Caenorhabditis elegans: one gene and its partners. The protein of the gene in region 2 purifies or fractionates together with the protein of the main gene of each other region. This does not show direct contact. Each region holds a gene or a part of one and is shown on either strand. Other genes may lie near its edges.

Region 1 (7,989 bases), 6.2 Mb from region 2:
AGATACATTTCCGACGGACTTGCTGTCGTTAAAATGACATTTTGTAAGAGTTTAACCGAATTTTCGCTTGAAAGTTCCCATTTTTCAGTAAAAAACATGCAAGAAATCAGTACTGCGCCACGCTACGAACCAGAGATGGTCTATCAGCATTTCGGAGATGAGGAGACAATCTTCGGCTACGAAGATCTCGAGGTTACCATCCATCACACAGCTCAAACCCTCTACAGCTACATAAACGTGAGCTATTCCTCAAAAGCGAAAAACGAAAACGGACTGGAGGCCGATGACGTCATTGATAAGCTGGTTCATCCAGACGTTCGTCCGAATGTTCTGGTTTCGGGAAAAGAAGAATTCCAGCAGAAGCTCATCAAACAGAAGGATTTCAAGCCTTTCGGTGAGATGGTACACAAGTTTGAGCTGAAAGGAAAGAGCTACGAGGTCTACAAAGTCGCCGAGCAAACCGAAGAGTTCAACCTTTTCCTAGAAAGAATCCAGACTCTCGGCATGTTGTGAGTGCTTAAAAAATAAGGATTTTCCTACAAAATTTTTTTTTCAGCTTCATCGAGTGCTGCTCACTGACAGATAACACTGAAGACAATTGGCTTCACTATTTTATGTAAGTTGAGAAGATTTCGCGGCGAATTCCAGAAATTACAAAAAATCGAACGCATTTCAAATATTTTTCAATTTTCCAGCTACGAACGCTGCGACACCGGTGAAGGAGATGGAAGTACTGTGGCCAACGTGGCTGGCTACGCGACACTCTTCAAATTCTACAACTACATTGACAGGATCCGTCCACGAATTGCACAGATGCTATTGCTCCCTCAATACAGAAAATCTGGAATTGGAGCCAGTTTCATGGAATCTTTCCTGCGAGATCTTCGTGCCTCTCCAGAAGTTTTCGACGTAACCGTCGAGTCTCCCGGAGATCAGTTCGTCAGCCTCCGTGACTATGTGGATTGTGTCAACTGCATGACACTGCGGGAATTTGCACCGGAGAATCTCAAGAGGGGATACTCGGACAAAATGCGTCAGGCCGCACTGGAAAAGCTCAAGATTTCCAGACAACAAGCCCGTCGAGTCTATGAAATTTTGCGTTATCGTGCTACAAATAAGAAGGATAAAGAAGAGCTGAAAGCGCAGAGAATCGATGTGAAACGTCGGTTGTATGCACCAATGAAGAAATCGGATCAGGACTGGAAGCGTCTGAATCTCGCGTTGACACCCGATGAGCTTCGACAAGCGGCCTGTGGACAAATGGATGAGGAAACCAAGTTCTCGACGCTCTCACAGAATTATGATCGGCTTATGGAGGCCTATCAAAAAACTATTGATCGAATTGAGCAGCATCCAAGCATTTTTTAATCGTTGTATCTGTATCTTATTTTAATTTGAAATTACATGTGGGATTTTTGTATTTTTTTTAAAGCTAATTACCACGAAATTCGTCTAAATTTGCTGTAAATTTGCAAAATTCCCTTGCCGTTATTACCCATACGCGAAATTTTGCGCCAAAAGTACGGTATCCGGTCTCGAAGAGAAAAATGTATGATAAATGCGAAAAAGTGTGCGCCTTTAACGATTTTTATCAGGTTTTCATAGTTTTTCCCAGCATTTGTTAAAGTTTTTTTGGGTTTTGATTGTGATCTACGAAAAATCGACGAAAATCCGCAATAGCAAAAGTTTGAAGCTACAGTACTCTTTAAAGGCGCACAAATTTTCGCGTTTAACAAACATGTTTCGTTGCGAGACCAGGCACCGTATTTTTGGCGTGAAAATCGCTTTGGGTCCTATTTGACTTATTGTGAATGTTTCATGAATTTTTCCGCTCTCTAAACTCTCAGCTAAAAATCGAATTCCCAGTTGAAAATCCCGAATATATTTTTATCTTCTTATATATTATTCTTCAATTACAAAAAAAAAACTCACCGAAATAAATGATCTCTCACTCTATCCCAGCAGAATGGACGAATTCTCATTTCCATTTCAACCATACGACATTCAACTCAATTTGATGCGAGAAATCCGCCAATGCATTGAACAACGGAAAATTGGCATTTTCGAATCTCCAACAGGCACCGGAAAGTCGCTCAGCGTGTTGTGCTCGACGATGACGTGGCTGGAAGCTGAAGAACTACGAATTTCGACTGATTTGAGCACACGGCTCGGGGAGGTTCACACGAAAATCACGGAATGCGATAAAATCACCACCGCCGACAATTGGGAGACGGCAGTTCGTGAGAAAATGCGAGCTCAAGACGTAGAGACGGAGATTTTGGAGCAAATTCAGAGTCGGGAAAGGTGTTGGAAATTGAATAATTATTCTTTTTTAATTTTTTTTTAAATGAAAAAAATCATTCAGATTGCAGTCACGAATCGATCAAGCCCGGCGAGGAATGGTCGAGGTCTCCAGAAAGAGAAAAGCCCCGGCCAGGGATACGGATCAGTTTCTCGAACCTCAAGATGTAATAATTGAACTTTTATCCGGAAATTCACATGTGGCTGACCGTTTTTTCGGAAAATTTCAAGATTTCTGACTAGAACCTGGCTTTTTTTTTCTGGAAAAACCTTGAAATACGCAAAAATTCCAAATTTTTAAATACAAACCTTCAGTATTGCTAATTTTTTGAGAAATGTGAAAAAATGTTAACAGTATTATATAGCAAGATAGATATAGAATAGATTCCACAATATGAATAGATACACAATAGAATAGTTACATAGTAATACATAGAATAGACACTTGATGCCTCACTTTAAAGGCGCACGCTGTTTTCTGAGTGGGTCTCGCCACGATCCCAGCCACAGTAGTCGCTACAAATTTGAAGTTTCATAAATTGAATATGCCAGGTTTTCAAGAAAATGTTATTCTAGAAGTTTCTATTATAGAAATAATACAGAAATATCAAAATTCAAAATAAAATTTCCAGGAAGCCGCCCCATCGGAAGAATACAATAACGACGAGAAAAGTGAGAAACAGCGGGATTCCGATTTTTTCGATGATGTCGATGAAGAAGAGGAGAAGCCACTGAAATGTCTGAAAGTACAGAATTTATTTCAATATTTCGGAAAGTGCAATCGCGCTCCATAGCCAAATGAAAGTGCAATTCAAACTTTTTCAAGCATTTTTGTGACAGTAACTGTATATCATTAAAAATTGGAAAATCTTGGGTTTTACCGCCAATACCTAACGAGACCCATGTTTCGGGGGCAGAGCGTTTTTATTTTTTATTTGGCTATGGAGCGCGATTGCACTTTCATCTCAAAAGTCGCATATAGCTGTCATATTATTACAGGAACAAAAAATTCTTAGAATGCGTATTGGGCAACATATTTGACGCGCAAAATATTCCGACGCGAAAACTACAGTAATCCTTTGGATGACTACTGTAGCGCTTGTGTCGATTTACGGGCAATATTTTTGAAATTAATTTCTTTTCAAAAAGTTACAACGGCTCTCAATTTTCTTTAATTTTTCGTTTTTAAAAATCAATAAATAAAAGGTTTTTGTAAATCGACACAGGAGCTACAACAGCAATTTAGAGGATTACTGTAGTTTTCGCTTTGAGATATTTTGCGCGTCAAATATGTTGCCCAATACGCATTCTCAGAGTTTCGTGTTACCGTAATACGTCTTTTTTTTTTTTAATGAAAGTTGTCTGAAAAAAATAATCGAAATTAAGTCGGAGAATTTTCAATTTACCGAACAAATTTTTTTAAATGAAAATTTGGTTTTTTTGTAAATTTTCAAAACTGCATTAAAATTTTTTTAATTGAAAACTGAAAAATCAATAATTTTTTATTCAAACTGTCTTGAAATTTTCTGAATTTTCCAGATTTTCTACGCATCACGAACACATTCTCAATTGGAGCAACTTGCCGAGGAGCTCGCAAAAACTAGATTTCAACCCAGAATAGTTACATGTGCCTCACGAGGAACATTATGTGTAAATGAAGAAGTCAAAAAGTTGAAATTAAATCATTTAATCAATGAAAAATGTATGGAATTGCGAAAAAACGGAATGTCGGAAAAGGAAAAAGTTCAGAAATTGGAGAAAGGAACCACGAAAAAGACAAAAACCTGTGCGACTTCATGCGAATTCTACAATTCCACACAAATCGAAGATGTAGTGAATGGAGTCCTCTCGAACAAATTGAAAAGTACACTTGAAGTGTCAAAACAGGGAAAACTTTCCAATGGATGCCCATATTTTGCTACAAGAAAATCTGTTCCACAGTGTCAACTTGTTCTTCTTCCATATCAAGTTTTGCTTCATGATGGAACACGAAAAGCATGGGGAATTGAATTAAAGGATAATGTTATTGTACTCGACGAGGCACATAATGTGTTGAATACTATTAGTTCGTTTTTTTTTCGGAAATTGGAAAAAGTTTCGAAAAATGGCTTCAAAAATTGTTAGAATAATTTTTTTCAAATTTAAAAATAATCAAAATTTAATTTTTTTCAATTTTCTTCCAAAAATTTTTTCTTCATATTTTTTAATTATATGTTTACAAAAATCACAGTTTTTCATTTAATGTTTTTTGTTCAAAAAATTTCAAAAAAATTCAAAAAACTCTACTTTTCAACTAAAAATAAATGTTTTTCATTAATTTTTTAAATGAATTAAATCTTTTTCAAATTTAACTTTTTTTACAGAACTCGACTTGAAAAACGTTTTTTTTTTCAAAAAAAATTTCAAAAACATTGAAATAAAATCCTTATTTATTCCAAAAAACGAATAATTTCAATTTTTAGTTTTTAAAAATACGGAAATCACTATTTTTCTTTTTTTTTTCAAAAAAAAAAAAACGAAAAAAAAATCTGCTTTTCAATAAAAAAAAATTTTATTTCAAAAAAGCACATTTTTCAATTTAAAAAATTCAAAAAATCACAATTTTCAAAATATTTTTTTTTCAGAAAATCGCTAATTTTATTCAAAAAATTTTCAAAAAAAAAACAATTTTTCAATATACAAAAATTTCTAAAAATCACTGAAAAAACTATTTTCCAATTTAAAAAATCGTTATTTTTCAATTAAATTGTTTCCTAAATAATTCCCTGAAAATCACTTTAAAAAAATTTCCAAACCTTTTTTTTAAAAAAAAAACCTCCCGGAAATTTCCAATTTTAAAGGAATTTTTTTCAGGTTCCCTCTACTCTGCTGAAATTTCCACGAAATCCCTAACCCTCGCACTGCGTCTAATTCGAGAATACAATGCTCACTACAAGCTGAAGCTTCTGGCTCATAACCTACTTTACATGAAACAACTGGAATCACTCACCAGCAAAATGCTCATTTTCTTAAATAGCCAATCAAAAGAAGATGTGATGACGATGGCTCAGTTGGCACGAAATTTGAATATTCTAGAAATTAATCTGTTCAAATTGGCCGAATATATGGAGAAGACGGATTTGTGCAAGAAATTTCATGGATTTTACATGAGATTACAGAAAGAAGTAATTAATTCCAAAAATCGAAAAATTCACTTTAAAAAATTAAGAAAAATACCTCAGAAACAGAAACAAATTTTCAAAAAAAATTAAAACGTATCATAAATTCAAACTGAAATTTTCATTTTTTACGAAAAATATCAATTTTTTCATAAAAATTTGAATTACCTATCATTTTTTTAAAGTATTACAATAATTTTTTTCTAAAAAGTATTCAAAAAAAGCCATTAAAATTGAAAATGAAGATCCAGGAAAAATTGATTTACCGTGAAAATTCCGAAGCCTAAAACCTAGAATCCAATAACTTTTCCAGGAAATCAAGAAAGAAAATGAGAAGCCAAAACTAACCGGAATCCAGAAACTCATGGCTGCAAAAGAAGCGGAGCCTGAGCCAGAAGCTGAGCCTCTTCCACCGCCAAAACCCGTTCCTTCTCCACTTTTTTCGCTGAAATCGTTCATCGACGCATTAACCAACAAATGCGAAGATGGCCGAATTATTGTGGAAAAGTCGGCCACCGAAGCAAAGTATGATAGCAACGATTTTTGAACGTGACCGTGAAAAACAAATCGGTGGCCGAGTTTTGGGTTTTGCTTTTTTTTTTTGAAAATCGACTTCCCCGCAAAAGTGTGCTGATATTTATTGAGACTATTTTTCTCACATTGGAAAAATCGGTCATCAATAGTTTTTCTCATAAAAAACTAGGCAAGCATATTTATGTTGAGTAAACTTCGGCCACCAATTTTTTCAGAATAGGAAAAGTTCGGCCACTGACTCCGTTACCAAAATGTGAAAACTAGGCCACTAGTTTTATTCGGGCAGAACTCGGCCACTGCTTTTTAATACTGAAAGTTCGGCCAGCTAATTTTATTTGAGTAAAATTCGGCCACCGATTTTTTTTTCCAGAAAATCCGAAAACTTTTCAACTTCCAGATTCCGATTCATGCTCCTAAATCCGGCGGATCGTCTTTCCGAAGTGGTCACTTCCGCCCGAGCCACAATCCTCGTCGGTGGCACAATGGAGCCAGCTCAGCTTCTCGTGGAGACCCTATCCCGTGGATCGATCGGCGCCGACTCAATCCGTCGTTTTTCGTGTTGCCACGTCATTGATGATTCCCAGCTGCTCGCGGTAACCGTAGAACGAACTGTCGACGGAAAACCATTCCAACTCACATATCAGACACGTGGCGCCGATACCACGTTGAGATCGTTGGCCACGTCAATTCAGGCCCTGATTCCGCATATTCCGAATGGAGTTGTGATCTTTGTGCCGTCATACGACTTTTTGTTCAATTTCCAGAAAAAGATGAAGGAATTTGGGATTTTGAAGCGGATCGAGGTAGTTTTCGTTTCGAGACCCTTCCTGGGATTTTACCGTAGAATAATATATTTTTGTTAAAACGAAAATAAGAAAAAATTCAAATTTTGCATCAAATCTCAATAAATATCCAAAAAGTACGCTAGAGCACATTTGCATTGTCTTTGTTTTTTTTCAGGAAAAGAAGGCCGTATTCACAGAAAGCCGGCAACCAACATCAGACGTCTGGGACCGATTCAGCCGAGCTGCAAAAACATCGAAAGGAGCCATTCTATTTGCTGTCGTCGGCGGTAAAATGAGCGAGGGAATAAATTTTTGTGATGAGCTCGGACGGGCGGTCATTGTTATCGGATTACCGTATCCGAATAAGACCAGCGTCGAGTTGAGGGAACGGATGAAGGTAATAGTGATGGACTCTAAAAATATGGAAAAGCAGATTTAGCGTAATTTTTCTAAAATGGAAATCCTAGACCAATTTACAGGAATCCTTGGTCAGCGAATTTTAGACCACCAGTTGATTTTTAAATTCTAGGCCACCATATCACTATAATTTTAGGCCACCCATTACTATATATCGAGGCCACCCACTAGATTAAGAAATTCTAGACCACCCCATTACAGAATTTCTAGGCCACCATATCACTATAACTCTAGGCCACTACTTCACTCAAATCATAGGCCATCAAATGACTACAGTTCTAGACCACGAAATCAGAATCTAGGCCATCACGTGAATCAAATTCTAGGCCACCTATTGAGCTAAATCCTTGGAAATTGTAGGCCACACTTTACTCGGATCCTAGGCCACCACGCAAGAACACAAAAGGGCCACCCTCCCCCCAATAACTCAAAATTTCAAAATGTTTTTTTCAGTTCCTCGACACTCAAATGCCGAACGGTGGAAACCTGCTCTACGAATCTCTATGCATGCACGCCGTGAATCAAGCCATCGGTCGAGCAATCCGTCACCGCCGAGACTACGCGGCCGTCTATCTCTTCGACGACCGCTACGCAAAGGAGTCCACTCGGAGAAAGTTGTCCACGTGGATTGGAGATCGCACTCAAGTCAAGTTGGGATTTGGCGAGATTATTCGAAAGACGAGGAGCTTTTTTGAAGCGAATTCTAAGAAATAATTAGAATATTTTTTCTTCATTTTTTTGGTGTTTTTTATTTTGCCCGGTTGCTCTAAAGATTCCTCATTCCTTGTGTGTGT
Region 2 (7,660 bases):
ACGGATAGTTGCTTCTTGCAGCATTCTACTGATTTCGCTGAAAAGATTTTTGTTCGTTATATTTTATTCCAGATATTTTCTTCGAAAAATTTAGTTTTTTAACGCAAAAGTATAGTAATTTATTTTTGTTTTTGTTTGTACACGATCGAAATATTTTCAAATGAGGTACTGTAGCCTCACTCCTTCCAGATTTTGATGTCACATGAATAATAATTAGTAGACTTTAAAATCTCGAGAAAACAATGTGTTACCCACTTTTCATTTGGAAGTAATTCGATCGTGTCGAGACCCGATACCATAATTTTGCGATAAAAATCCCATATTTTCCCGAATGAGTAATAATCAAAATATTCACCACAAGACGAGGAAGGTGCTCCGGAGCAATTTGTCGTTTTACCGCTTTCACATGGTGACGGCATCTGTTACTGGAAATACGGAAACTTCCGATAAAAAATAGAAAATCACATTTAAAATATTAGGTTTGAAATACTTAGATAACAAATCACAGTTTTCAAAAATCTAGTATAATAACAAAAAAACCTTTTCATTCAACTTGGAAACAGGGAGAAAACAGTGAAAGCTGAAATAGGGATTCGGGTACGTATAAATTATGAAAATGAATAGAAACAACAAAACTCAAAAAGTGGGGATATAATATTATTAGAAACAAGAAGAACAAATAATTTTTTAGAAAGAATCTAGTTTTCTGGGACGTTAGCCTTGTACACAATAGTACGCCCAAGATCGAACTTTTCACTTCCAGAAGTCACAGAAATCTTGTTATCAGCCTCGAAATTGAAAATGTCTGCGTCGGACAATTGAATGTTCTCCTCGAATGGATTTCTGTACGAAATCATCTGTCGATCTCCCCAAACCGCGTTCTTGTATCTCCAGAGGCTCACTTCGAATTTCGCTGAAAATATAATAAATTGAATTTATTGTTTTCGGAATAGGGTTTTCTCATACGTTTGATTGCCTTGCTGATGCGTCTCATCTTCCGAATAACCATTGAAACACTGTCTCCATTAACAATTGGTACATCAACATCGAACATTGCATTGCAGATTTGAACATTTCTGGCGACAAGTTTGATTGTTGGCTGAAAATAATTATGATGTCATTATTATTGGTACGCAGAAAAATTCCCCTCTTGAAATTGATATGGAAATGCGCTCCACTGCCGATTGACAACGCCCCGCCTCCTACAGTTGGGTCTCGTAAGGTATTTGGCGTGCTTGAAAACTGCAGAGACGAATTTAAAATGTTTGAATTTACGGTTTTGCCGCCAAATACCTAACGAGACCCATGGTTAGAAGGCGGAGCATGTTCCCATGCCCCTATAATATGTTTCCTTACTCTATTCGGCGTGAAATTCAACATTGGCACCAGCGGTACTGTAGTCTCAACAATATTCGCATCAATTCCCTCCTCATCAGTATGTCGAATAGTAACACGATCCAAATCCAAAGCGTTCATAATAAAATCAATATTCTCGTTGAGAATTGAAGTTTGATCAACTGGACTAGAAGAAGCCAATGCTGAAACACCCTTCTGTTCGAATCTTTCCTTGATCATTTGAACGAATGGCATCGCTTTTTTGGCGAATTTCTTGAGTGATTCTTCTTTTCCAATGAGCTGACTGATTGCTTTATTATCTGGAAGTGCTCCATTATTAGCCTTGGCTTGTTTCTCAAGAATATCAAGAATAGTCTTCTGCCATGGTGGATATTCTTTAGCAACATAGATCACTGCTTCAGTTGGAACTTCTGGAATCTCCTTCAGTGCCTTCTTCTTTGGAGTCATGTAGGTTTTCAGTCGGGCACGGAATTCGGCCAGCGATTCCGTGATGAAACGAGCACCAATGGCGAGCTTCTCATCGACAGGATCGACAGTTGGCCATGGAGCATTTACAATCAAGCCGTCTTTTCCGAGCAATTGCCAGATGTATTCAGCAATATGTGGGCAGATTGGTGATAGGATGAGCATCTAAAATAAAAAACAAATTAAACTTTTAAAGGTGTCGTCTGGCGTTTTTTTTTTGCCCCAAATGACAGAAATCAGTCTTAATCGAACGAAAATAGATTTTAAGAAATTTATAGAAATTTCCTAAACTTTTTTAATATACGGCAATACTGATTTGTTTTTTTTCTCGTTTTTCTAGAATTTTTGTTGCAGAATTTGAAACAATTCTTTCAATTTTTACACTAATAATCGGTATCTGTCATCTTGAGAAAAAAATCTTTCTGAAAATATACCTGAGTTTCAATGAATCTAAAGACAAGCGATTCGCTCATTGGCTCATCAATTCCAGCGCAAAGTTCTCTGTATGTATCTCTAATGGCTTGATATTCGAAGAATCCAGTTTTCAGTGCATCCTTGAAGTTGGTAGCTTCATAATTTTGTTCTGTGGCAGCGATCAGTGAATTCATTTCATTTGCAAAAACTCGATCAGCGAATTTCTTTGCATCTTTTCGGAGAAGTCCGGCATCCCGTTGTTCAATCATTTCCTTGATCCATTCGATCATAGTGAATAGTCTCAGAATAGCTGCATCTGCCATTGCGTACACAAAGTTAGCATCTTCCAAACCATCCCCAGCATCGGCAAGACTCAATCTCATACCATCTGCGCTGAACTTTTCGATGGCTTCTTCCAATGTCATAAAGTTTCCAGTGGATTTCGACATTTTCTCATTGTTCAAGAGCAAATGTCCATTGGCCCGAATTCCTTTTGGCCATTTTGAAGTGTCTGTTGGCCAGATTGCAGCATGATTGAACAGAAGATATGTCAAATGATTTCCGATAAGATCTTTTCCAGATGCTCTCATATCAATTGGATACCAATACATGAATTCTTTCCTCAATGATTTAAGCTTTTCCTCCTCAACCGGCATGGTTTTCGAATCGTAAATTTCTCCGAGGAATACATAACTCCACGAAGCATCTGTCATCTGATCAGCTTTAATTCCAGCAGGTCCGACGACTGATCCATCAAAAGCTCCCTGTTGGAGAAGATGAGCAACTGTATAATAAGCATTGTAGATTGTAGAGTCTGACAGAGATTCGATGAGGTATTGAGTATCCCATGGAAGTTTGGTTCCAAGACCGTAACTTCTGGAGCAAGCATACTCGTGGAGCCAATCGACTGTGGTTTCCAATCCACGGCGGGTCTGAAAATTTTAATTCAGCGGAATAAGAATATACTACATAGACATCTAAAAATGAGAATTTTCGACATATCTTACGCGCAGAGGACGCAGGCAACGAATTACTGTAACTTCTGTTGTCTAATGGGCCGTTATTGCGTCATATTCTTTAAATTAAACTCCAATTTCAACAAAAAGGGTTTTAAAAAAATCGTCCGTAGAGTTGGAGTAATTTGTAAACTATGATATTCTTTGAACAAATTTTTTCGATTTTTAGATAAAATTGTGGTTTTATTTAGAGAATATGCTGCAATAAAAAACCCTTTGATCGGCAAGTTACAGTAACTCGTTGTCTGCGTGGCAAGACCTCTGCGCGTAAGAGATGGCGAAGATTCTTATTTTTAGACGTCTACATAATATTTTTTCAAAAATAATTTAAAAAAATATACCTCATCATTGAAAGTTCTGAGTGGCTCAAGAACCTTCTTTGCAGCAGCCTTCCATTCAGCCTCTCCATAATTCAAATACCATTGATCACACAACGCAACGACGCACTCATCTCCAGATCTGCTCATCACCTTCTTCTCAGGCTCCACATATTTCGTGGCAAGACCTTCAGCTGTCAAATCATCTTGAATAACTTTCTTGACGTCGGCTGTCTTCTTTCCAGCATACTTTCCGACGAGCATAACTCCATCGTAGAATCCTTTCAAATAAACTTCTTTCTTCGCCTCTTCCAGTTTGTCCTTCTCATTTTGAGACTCAATTTTCAGCCTTGAGCACATTTCAACTGCAGCCAAATCCCCAAGTCCTTCGATTTTAATAATTGGAACTGGTTCGAATGGAAGAACCATCTCATCAGTCAATCCATATTTTTCTCTCAATGGCTTCTTCTTCTTGAGATCCGACAAAGCTGCAAAATCATCTGGAGAGTCTGATGGTACACTTGTAACAACACCAGTTCCCTTATCATCCTTGATAGTCAACATTGGCAATGCATAAACTCTTTCGTATTTTGCGAGAGGCGCAGAGAGTGGAGCTCCGAGAATCTTGCTTCCAGCGATTTTCTCGAGTCCCAGGACATAGTTGACTTTACCATTTTCCTTAGTCAATCCTTGATATGACATGATTCTAGCAGATCTGGCAGTTGCCACAAATACTTGTTTCTCGTTTTCCGTCGCATAAAACACGGAATATTGAATATCTGGATGGAGATAACAATTCGTTTGTCCGTACATTGTTTCAGGTCTCAAAGTAGCCGCAACGAGATAAATATCCTCTTTGATATGGCTCAAAGCTTGAGGTTTTGGATCAAGAACTTTCAGTTTAATAAGAGTATATTCTTGTGGACCAACACCTTCTCCACTGGCACGATCGTGATCCATGCATGGTTGACCGTCTTTCGGTGAATAAATTGTATATCTCTTTCCGAAATCGATCTTCTTAGCTGCACGAAGAAGGTTGAACTGCCAACGGACGAATGAGTCGAAGTATGGATTCACGTCGGTGGTGATGAAGGAACGACGCCAATCAGCCTGAAAAATGGCAATTTTTAATTTAATAATTTCGAAATGTTTCTTTTTTAATTTTGTGATAAGTTAAATTTTTTTGAGAATTATATTATTATTAAAATGGAGAAGCAAAAATGAGGAAGTAAGGCATTTTGTTCCAATATTCATTAAATACAATTCAGGGATATAATATAGAAAAATATTTCATTTATCTGAAAATAGCTTTGATTAAGGTTGAAAAATTGGAAAAGTGCCAAAAAAATCGCCGGTAAAAACCGACCAATTATCGAAATTTTTTTACAGGTTATTTTCAACTTTTAATCACTAAAATAAAAACTATTTTCAGATAAATCAAATGTTTTTTTTCCAAATTCTATCACTAAATTTTAATCAAAAATATTGGAAAAACATAATAATTTAGTACTATTTTTACAGAACTCACTTTCAACACTTTAAGATGATTTCAACACTTTAAATCTTACCTTTAGTCCCATTTTCTTAAGATCAGCAATGCAATGTGGTGGGAAATAATATAGCCAATGATTTGGATCCGAGAATTCCTTAATTTCCTCATCACACAATCCCAGAGACTTCATAATTTGCCATTGGTATTTTGCATTTCCAGTTTTTGCCACCAATTTACTCTTCTTTCCTTTACTCTTATCCTTGATAATCTCATCGACAGCCGAAACTTCTTCTTTAACTTCCTCGACAACATCTTCCGGGAAATTTGGTGGATATCCGAAATCTTGCATTTCTCTTTTCAATTTATCTGCACATGCTTTAATTGGCATTCCAGTACAATGAAATCCGAATGGAAAGAGCACTTCTTTGCCTTGAAGACGTTGGAAACCGGCGGCAAATTCACATTTTGAAGCTGAGAATGTGTGTCCCAAATGAAGACGTCCATTCATGTATGGGAAGGGAAACGTGACGAGGTACTTTGGTTTTCCACTGAAATTTTTTAAATTGAAAATAATTCAAAATTTTCAGAAAAAACTCACTCATCCCTAGCATCCGCCTCGAAAGCCTTCTTGCTCTCCCACAGCTCCTGAATGCTCTTTTCAATTTCTTGAAGTTGAGCAACCTTCTTCCGCTCCTTATTGATTTTCGACATTGTCGATATTTGTTACCCTGATATTTAAAAATAATTAAAACCTTTAAAAAATTCTTTTAAGCAATAGATTACATCAGAAAACACAAAATGATGAAATTTACTTGGTTTCTATTTGAAAAAAATCAATAAGTGATTAGAAAGCAAACAAGTTTGTGGAAAAAAATCGATATTGAGATTTAATTGTCGATAAAAAAGTTCAAATTTTAAAGGGAACAACTTAAAATAGGCCCATTTTCTACCGTTCTAAAAATCCTGCATTATCATGGCCTAGTTTTGCAATGGCATCGACCGCGGCCACGTCAACTTTCCCAACTTTTCATAGGGGTTTCAATCACTCGGAGAAGGCGATAAAATAATACAATATTATAAAAAATGAAGAAAAATGTACTTTTCGAGTTCTCGAACAATAATTTACCAATTTATAGAAATACAATTAGTGATTTTTTCGGAGCAACAACAGAAATTGGATTTTTTCTACAATTATTAGTAATCTATAACAGGCTAAAGGTACATTAAAATAGTTTATAATAAATTTAATTATCTTTAAATTTTTTGGTATATAAAAATTCTACAACTGCTACAACATGAAACATATTGAAAAGGAATTTTTGCAATATTTCATATTCGACTGATTTCAGGAATAGGTCACACTGCACCATATTACTTGGAATTAAATTCGTAAATGCTCCGTTTTGCTCTTAACGAATCAAGTACGGTTTCTACTTTTGAATGGAATTTTGCAAAATATACTTAGTTCATAAAATTATTCCTTTTCCATATCCAATGAAGGCCAATTTATCAAGTTGGACACACACATTGGTCAGATTACAACAAGTGGGATTACACTCAACATCACTTTCTCCTTGCTATAAATACCGGCTGACAGACTTTAATAGTGACTTGAGATAGGTTCTTCGCTGGACGAACTTGACTCGATTTGTATTAATTCATCTAAATTTCTCAAAGCAGAATGTTCCGAAATCTAGATTTTAGTAAAATAGCCATATTTAACTAAATATGTTTCCATAAATCTTCTGAAATTCTCCCAATTTTTAATTGTTTTTTAACCAAAATTTTAATACCAAAAAATTTAAACATCTTCTTAATAGAAGGTACACAATAGATCATATATTTTCATAGTGATACTACTGATTAACCCAGGCAAAACATGATATATCCTAATTCGCAATATACAAAAAAAAACATTCCTTATCTCCGAAAATTTCCAGTTCTAATTTCACTTATTGCGCAACCATGGACGTCCGTCGTCTTCATCACTTTCTCACCTTGTTGTATATCACTACGCAACAAACTTATATAATTTTACCCGATATGCCAAGAACCAGATCTGTTTGAGGCAGATGATGTCCAGCTATTTGAAGGTTTTGTTACACTTCTAGTCAACCCGATTTTGGGAGTATTTAACGACGATGGAGATTGACCGATTTTAACAATCTTACACACTTCTAGATGAGGAGATCTATTATTTTTCTAGCGGCGATTTGTGGGGTCACGTTGGCTGAAAGAAAGGTGAGTTACTTTGGACAATTCGTACCTACGAATATGGATAATTTTTAGGCAAGACAGGATAATGTTGGTGACGATTATTCTGATTTTTCATCTCAACCGGTCAAGAATGCTGGTGCCAACCATAATTTGAAACAAGTAACCTACTCAACAATCGCACCGAAATTCGATATTCCAACTCGTGCACCACTTTTGAACCCAAATCCGATTGGACGCAATCAGAATCCCGTTCAAACTACCACAAAGAGGCCAGTTGTCGCCTATAGAAGAGGGTATTTCTTCCAGCATTACCCATGGGATAGGCTTCCAAGAAGATATCTTCTTCGTCCAGGAATGACATATGTATATCCACCACAGTACAC
Region 3 (3,750 bases), on a different chromosome or scaffold from region 2:
GCTATTTTTGCATGTTTTCTTGCTTCTTCTCACCTAAAATATGGCCGATCAGCTCTCTGATAGACGAAAAATGTTCCTTCGCAATTCGACTGATTCCACTCTTTTCTCGCCGCATCGATATGATAAATCGCGGCAAATGGCATCTACAAAACCAATTTTTAGCTTTAAAATCCACAATTCTCTATGTTAAACCTTGTCGAGAATCTTGCTGGCGGCGATGTCGATTTTCTGGAGTTGTGCGAGGTTTTTCGCGGCTAGCTCGGCGGCGGCCTTTTTTTTAGCGTCGCTCATACTGGTTCCTGGATGAAAATGTTGAGTTTTCGATGAAAAATGATGAGAAAAGTGCAAAAAATCTGCGGAAATCGGTGAAAATCGCGAAAAAAACAAAGAAAGACAGAATTTAAATTGAAATTCTATGGTGTAGATTTACGGTAAACAGGGCGCGCTGCGGGATTTTGGAGTATCGTTGTAATTGTAAACTGAATTTTTAAAGCAAAAAATTTGTTTCTTAAACGAAAAAATCAGATAAAAATGCAAAATAATTCATTTAAACCGAGAAAATCAAATAAAAACATCAATAAATCAAATCTAAACAATCAAAGCGTCAATCTTCTTAGCCCACAACTCCACATTGTTCGGAAGGTGCTCCCCAAGGTTCAGAAGGCTTCTGAACACAATATCAGCGACACACACCTCCCATTGAGAGCTTAACGAGTCGAAACGAGCCAGGAACTGAGAAGCTTCACGTGTGACAAAGCTCTGATCACAGGAGCCGGCAAGGATTTGCTCGGCCTGAAAGAAAATTTGATTTTTTTGGGAAAGTTTCTAAAATTTCCTACTTTTCCCAGCCAAATCGCTTGATGACTGGCGCTGAGCACTTGTTGTGGCCGTCTAGAGAAGAGCCCGAGTGAAGAGCCCAACAGCTTCCAGATAGTTTGAAGGGATTTGACGGTAGTTTTTTCCAATTGCAGGGAGGGAGCAGGGCCTGAAAATATTGAAAATTAAGGGTATATCATAAAATTCTGATTTTTAGAGAAAAAATCCCGCACCTTTCACAACTTTCAGACTGGATTTCTTCTCTTTCGTCTGATTTTTGACTTCTCCCTCAAACGAGACTCCACGGCTTGCGCCGACCTTTGCGAGAGCCCGAGCCCACGGCAAATCCACGTCCCGCACTGTCAGCGTGGCGTTTTTCAGCTGCTCCTGCGGCTCGTAGGCCACAAGGGAGGTTGGGAGATTCACGGTGAGAGTCAGATTGGTCTCCCACGTCTTTCGGTCGTCCTGGACGGTCCATGGAGTCGAATTTACGGTCTTTTTCGCGGATTTCTGTGGTGGAGCCTCTCCGGAAGCCAATTTCTTTACGGCTTCTGCCTTGGCAGCCTTGCGAGCCTCCTTCTTGGCGTCCTTGTCTAGTTTTGCGGGGGCTCCGGGGACTCCGGGAGCTGAAGAGGCTGCTCCAGCGGATTTCTCAGGCTCTTTTGGCGCTTTTTCCGCAGGTTTTTGAGCAGATCTCTCTGCTTTTCCAGCCTCTCCAAGGCTTACCAGCAACTTCTTGAGCTCTTCGGTCTGTGCTTTGAGCTGCTCGATCAGTGAGAGCTGTTTGTGCTCCAAAGCCTTGCGCGGATCGGATTCTACCTGAAATTTCAGTTTTTTTTGAGCCAAAATCCGTCTATTACCTGCACCGCATCAGAAGGCCCGACTCCTCCGAAAGATGGATTATGATACGAACCTACTGGATAGCAGGCGATTTTCGGATGAACCTCAAAATTCGGTGGGAACGTCGGTGTCAGCTTGTACATTGGCATCGCGTGATTTACCCTGGAAAATCCTATTTTATACGAAATCTTGAGATTTTTGAGATTTTCAGAGCAATCGAGAGATTGTAAGATGGAATTTCGAGAATCTAAAATTTTTCAGAAGCGTTAAAGGCACCAAAAAACATGAAATATGCTTGAAAAACTGGGAAAACCATCAAATTTCTGGAAAAAAAATTTAGAGTTTAAAACAACGATGCTCCGAATTAACAAGTGCGTGTTATTTATTTTTAGTGAATTTTTGGTATAAAATCAGCATTTTTACATGATTTATGTAATTTTTGCGGGAAATAGACGAAAAATTACCGGTTTTTACTGAATTTTGATATAAAATAGCTTGAAAACAGCTAAAAAACCCAAAAATCAGAAATAAAAGCAAATGTGGATTTACGATAAAGAAGGCGCACAACGTGATATCGGAGTGTCGTTGGGAGGAAAATTATTTATTTTAATTATATATTTTTTTTCTCATTTTCAAGCGATTTTTTAGCTTTTTCCAGTGGTTTTTTAATTCTATCTTTTGCATAAATTTATCGTAATCTCATATTCAGCGTTTTCCCACGAAATTCCTTCCTTTTTCAGCTCAAAACCAGAAATGCCGTTCATGCACGGGTCCATGCCGCTTCGGCGGACATTCTTCTATCTCCAGCAGGGAAAAGTGAAGCTTCGCGACAACGTCAACGTGTTCTCGATGGGTTTTCATAAAAATCCGACGCCCGAGCAGTCTGGAGCACGAGATTTCGTCTACTGGAACTGGGCGCAGCTTCAATATCACAATCCAAAAGTTCAGCTCGTTAAGCATGCCGATAAAGTTGTGACGCCCTTTGCCAGAGCATATCTGAGTAAGTTTCAAGCTGAAAATCCACAAAATTCTACTAAAAAATGTTTCAGACGACGGCCGGGAAGTGCTATTCGACTTGGACGGCATGAAGCGCGAGGAAATCGAGAAATTATTGGCGAAAACGCTAGGAAAAACGGAATTAGTGGAGCGAAGAGAGCATTTGGAGAGTATTGCCAAGCTTAATCCCGCCGATTTCGGATCCAAAAATGAGCGACAGGTCTGAAAATTGCGCGAAAAATCGGCAAAAAATCGTTCATTTTTTCAGTGTATGTGCGAAGTTCAAGGCCAACATCCGTGCACGGGACTCCTGCGAGCACCGCAATGTGTCACCGGAAAATATCGATGGAATCATAATCTCATCTAATTTATATCGATTGATTTTTGTGTAAATTTCCTATTTCCCCCTATTTCTAGCTAGTTTTTGTGTCGATCTTCCTTGTTTTTTGTTGAAAAAACGATTTTTTTTTTCAGTTTTACAATCTTTTTGCCGCAATATTCACGACGAGAAGGTTCGAAGAAGTATAATCATGCCTGGGTTTCAAAAATTCTATATTTTGGGCCTAAATCGTCATGATTTGGCCTGAAATCGGCTCTAAAGTCTACAGTAACCCGATAAATTTCGCTGTGAGACCCAAGAAAGACATATTTTTGAAATCAGCGTGTCAAGCCAGTTTGAATGAGTTTACTCAAGCATAGGTTTTAAAATTTTTAAAATTTGAACGAAAATTGAACGACTTTGGCCTAAATTTAGCCTTTAAATCTACAGTAACCCAGCCAATTTCGCTGCGAGACCCATGAAACTTATATTTTTGAAATCAGCGTGGCAAGCCGGTTTGAATAAGTATAATCATGACTATTTTCGAAGAAACTTCTTTTCTTTCGAAAATTTCGTGACGAGACCCAAAATTTTTTTTTGAAAAATTAATATAACCGATAATATATGATTTATATGTGTATTAAATTACAATTATTTTGACCAGAAATCAATGTGTATACGGGGAACAACAACTTTTTTGACGAGAATTTTTTCAGGGATGGGGCAAGTTTGAAGGGACATAGGGCGGGAGTTACTGTAGGGCAAGGAAAATTTTTTAA

The links. The genes of interacting proteins can lie anywhere in the genome.
Region 1: the proteins of lars-1 (region 2) and chl-1 fractionate together in Caenorhabditis elegans (co-fractionation; one large-scale study listed by BioGRID). This does not show direct contact.
Region 3: the proteins of lars-1 (region 2) and Y55F3AM.13 fractionate together in Caenorhabditis elegans (co-fractionation; one large-scale study listed by BioGRID). This does not show direct contact.

The regions. Positions count from the first base shown.
Region 1 is NC_003281.10:10,399,214-10,407,202, reverse strand, and holds the start of chl-1 (ATP-dependent DNA helicase chl-1), read left to right. Parts: upstream 1-1,962; 5' UTR 1,963-1,966; coding exon 1,967-2,304; intron 2,305-2,365; coding exon 2,366-2,468; intron 2,469-2,933; coding exon 2,934-3,047; intron 3,048-3,840; coding exon 3,841-4,366; intron 4,367-5,154; coding exon 5,155-5,465; intron 5,466-5,772; coding exon 5,773-5,984; intron 5,985-6,390; coding exon 6,391-6,796; intron 6,797-6,953; coding exon 6,954-7,175; intron 7,176-7,648; coding exon 7,649-7,909; 3' UTR 7,910-7,989. Other genes in the region: hat-1 (Histone acetyltransferase type B catalytic subunit), read left to right, coding at 1-43, 89-509, 557-616, 696-1,368. UniProt on the Caenorhabditis elegans protein: Required for normal cell proliferation and chromosome stability. Plays a role in DNA repair during replication.
Region 2 is NC_003281.10:4,181,014-4,188,673, forward strand, and holds lars-1 (Leucine--tRNA ligase), read right to left. Parts: upstream 5,789-7,660; 5' UTR 5,772-5,788; coding exon 5,659-5,771; intron 5,609-5,658; coding exon 5,137-5,608; intron 4,679-5,136; coding exon 3,593-4,678; intron 3,168-3,592; coding exon 2,256-3,167; intron 1,987-2,255; coding exon 1,357-1,986; intron 1,100-1,356; coding exon 967-1,099; intron 914-966; coding exon 699-913; 3' UTR 536-698; downstream 1-535. Other genes in the region: putative mitochondrial carrier C16C10.1, read right to left, coding at 1-37, 356-419; R74.2 (FIP (Fungus-Induced Protein) Related), read left to right, coding at 7,242-7,301, 7,350-7,660.
Region 3 is NC_003282.8:1,054,496-1,058,245, forward strand, and holds Y55F3AM.13 (FH2 domain-containing protein), read right to left. Parts: upstream 1,819-3,750; 5' UTR 1,806-1,818; coding exon 1,677-1,805; intron 1,636-1,676; coding exon 1,050-1,635; intron 986-1,049; coding exon 840-985; intron 793-839; coding exon 589-792; 3' UTR 528-588; downstream 1-527. Other genes in the region: dcap-1 (mRNA-decapping enzyme 1), read right to left, coding at 34-143, 193-291; mrps-25 (Small ribosomal subunit protein mS25), read left to right, coding at 2,410-2,656, 2,706-2,872, 2,921-3,019.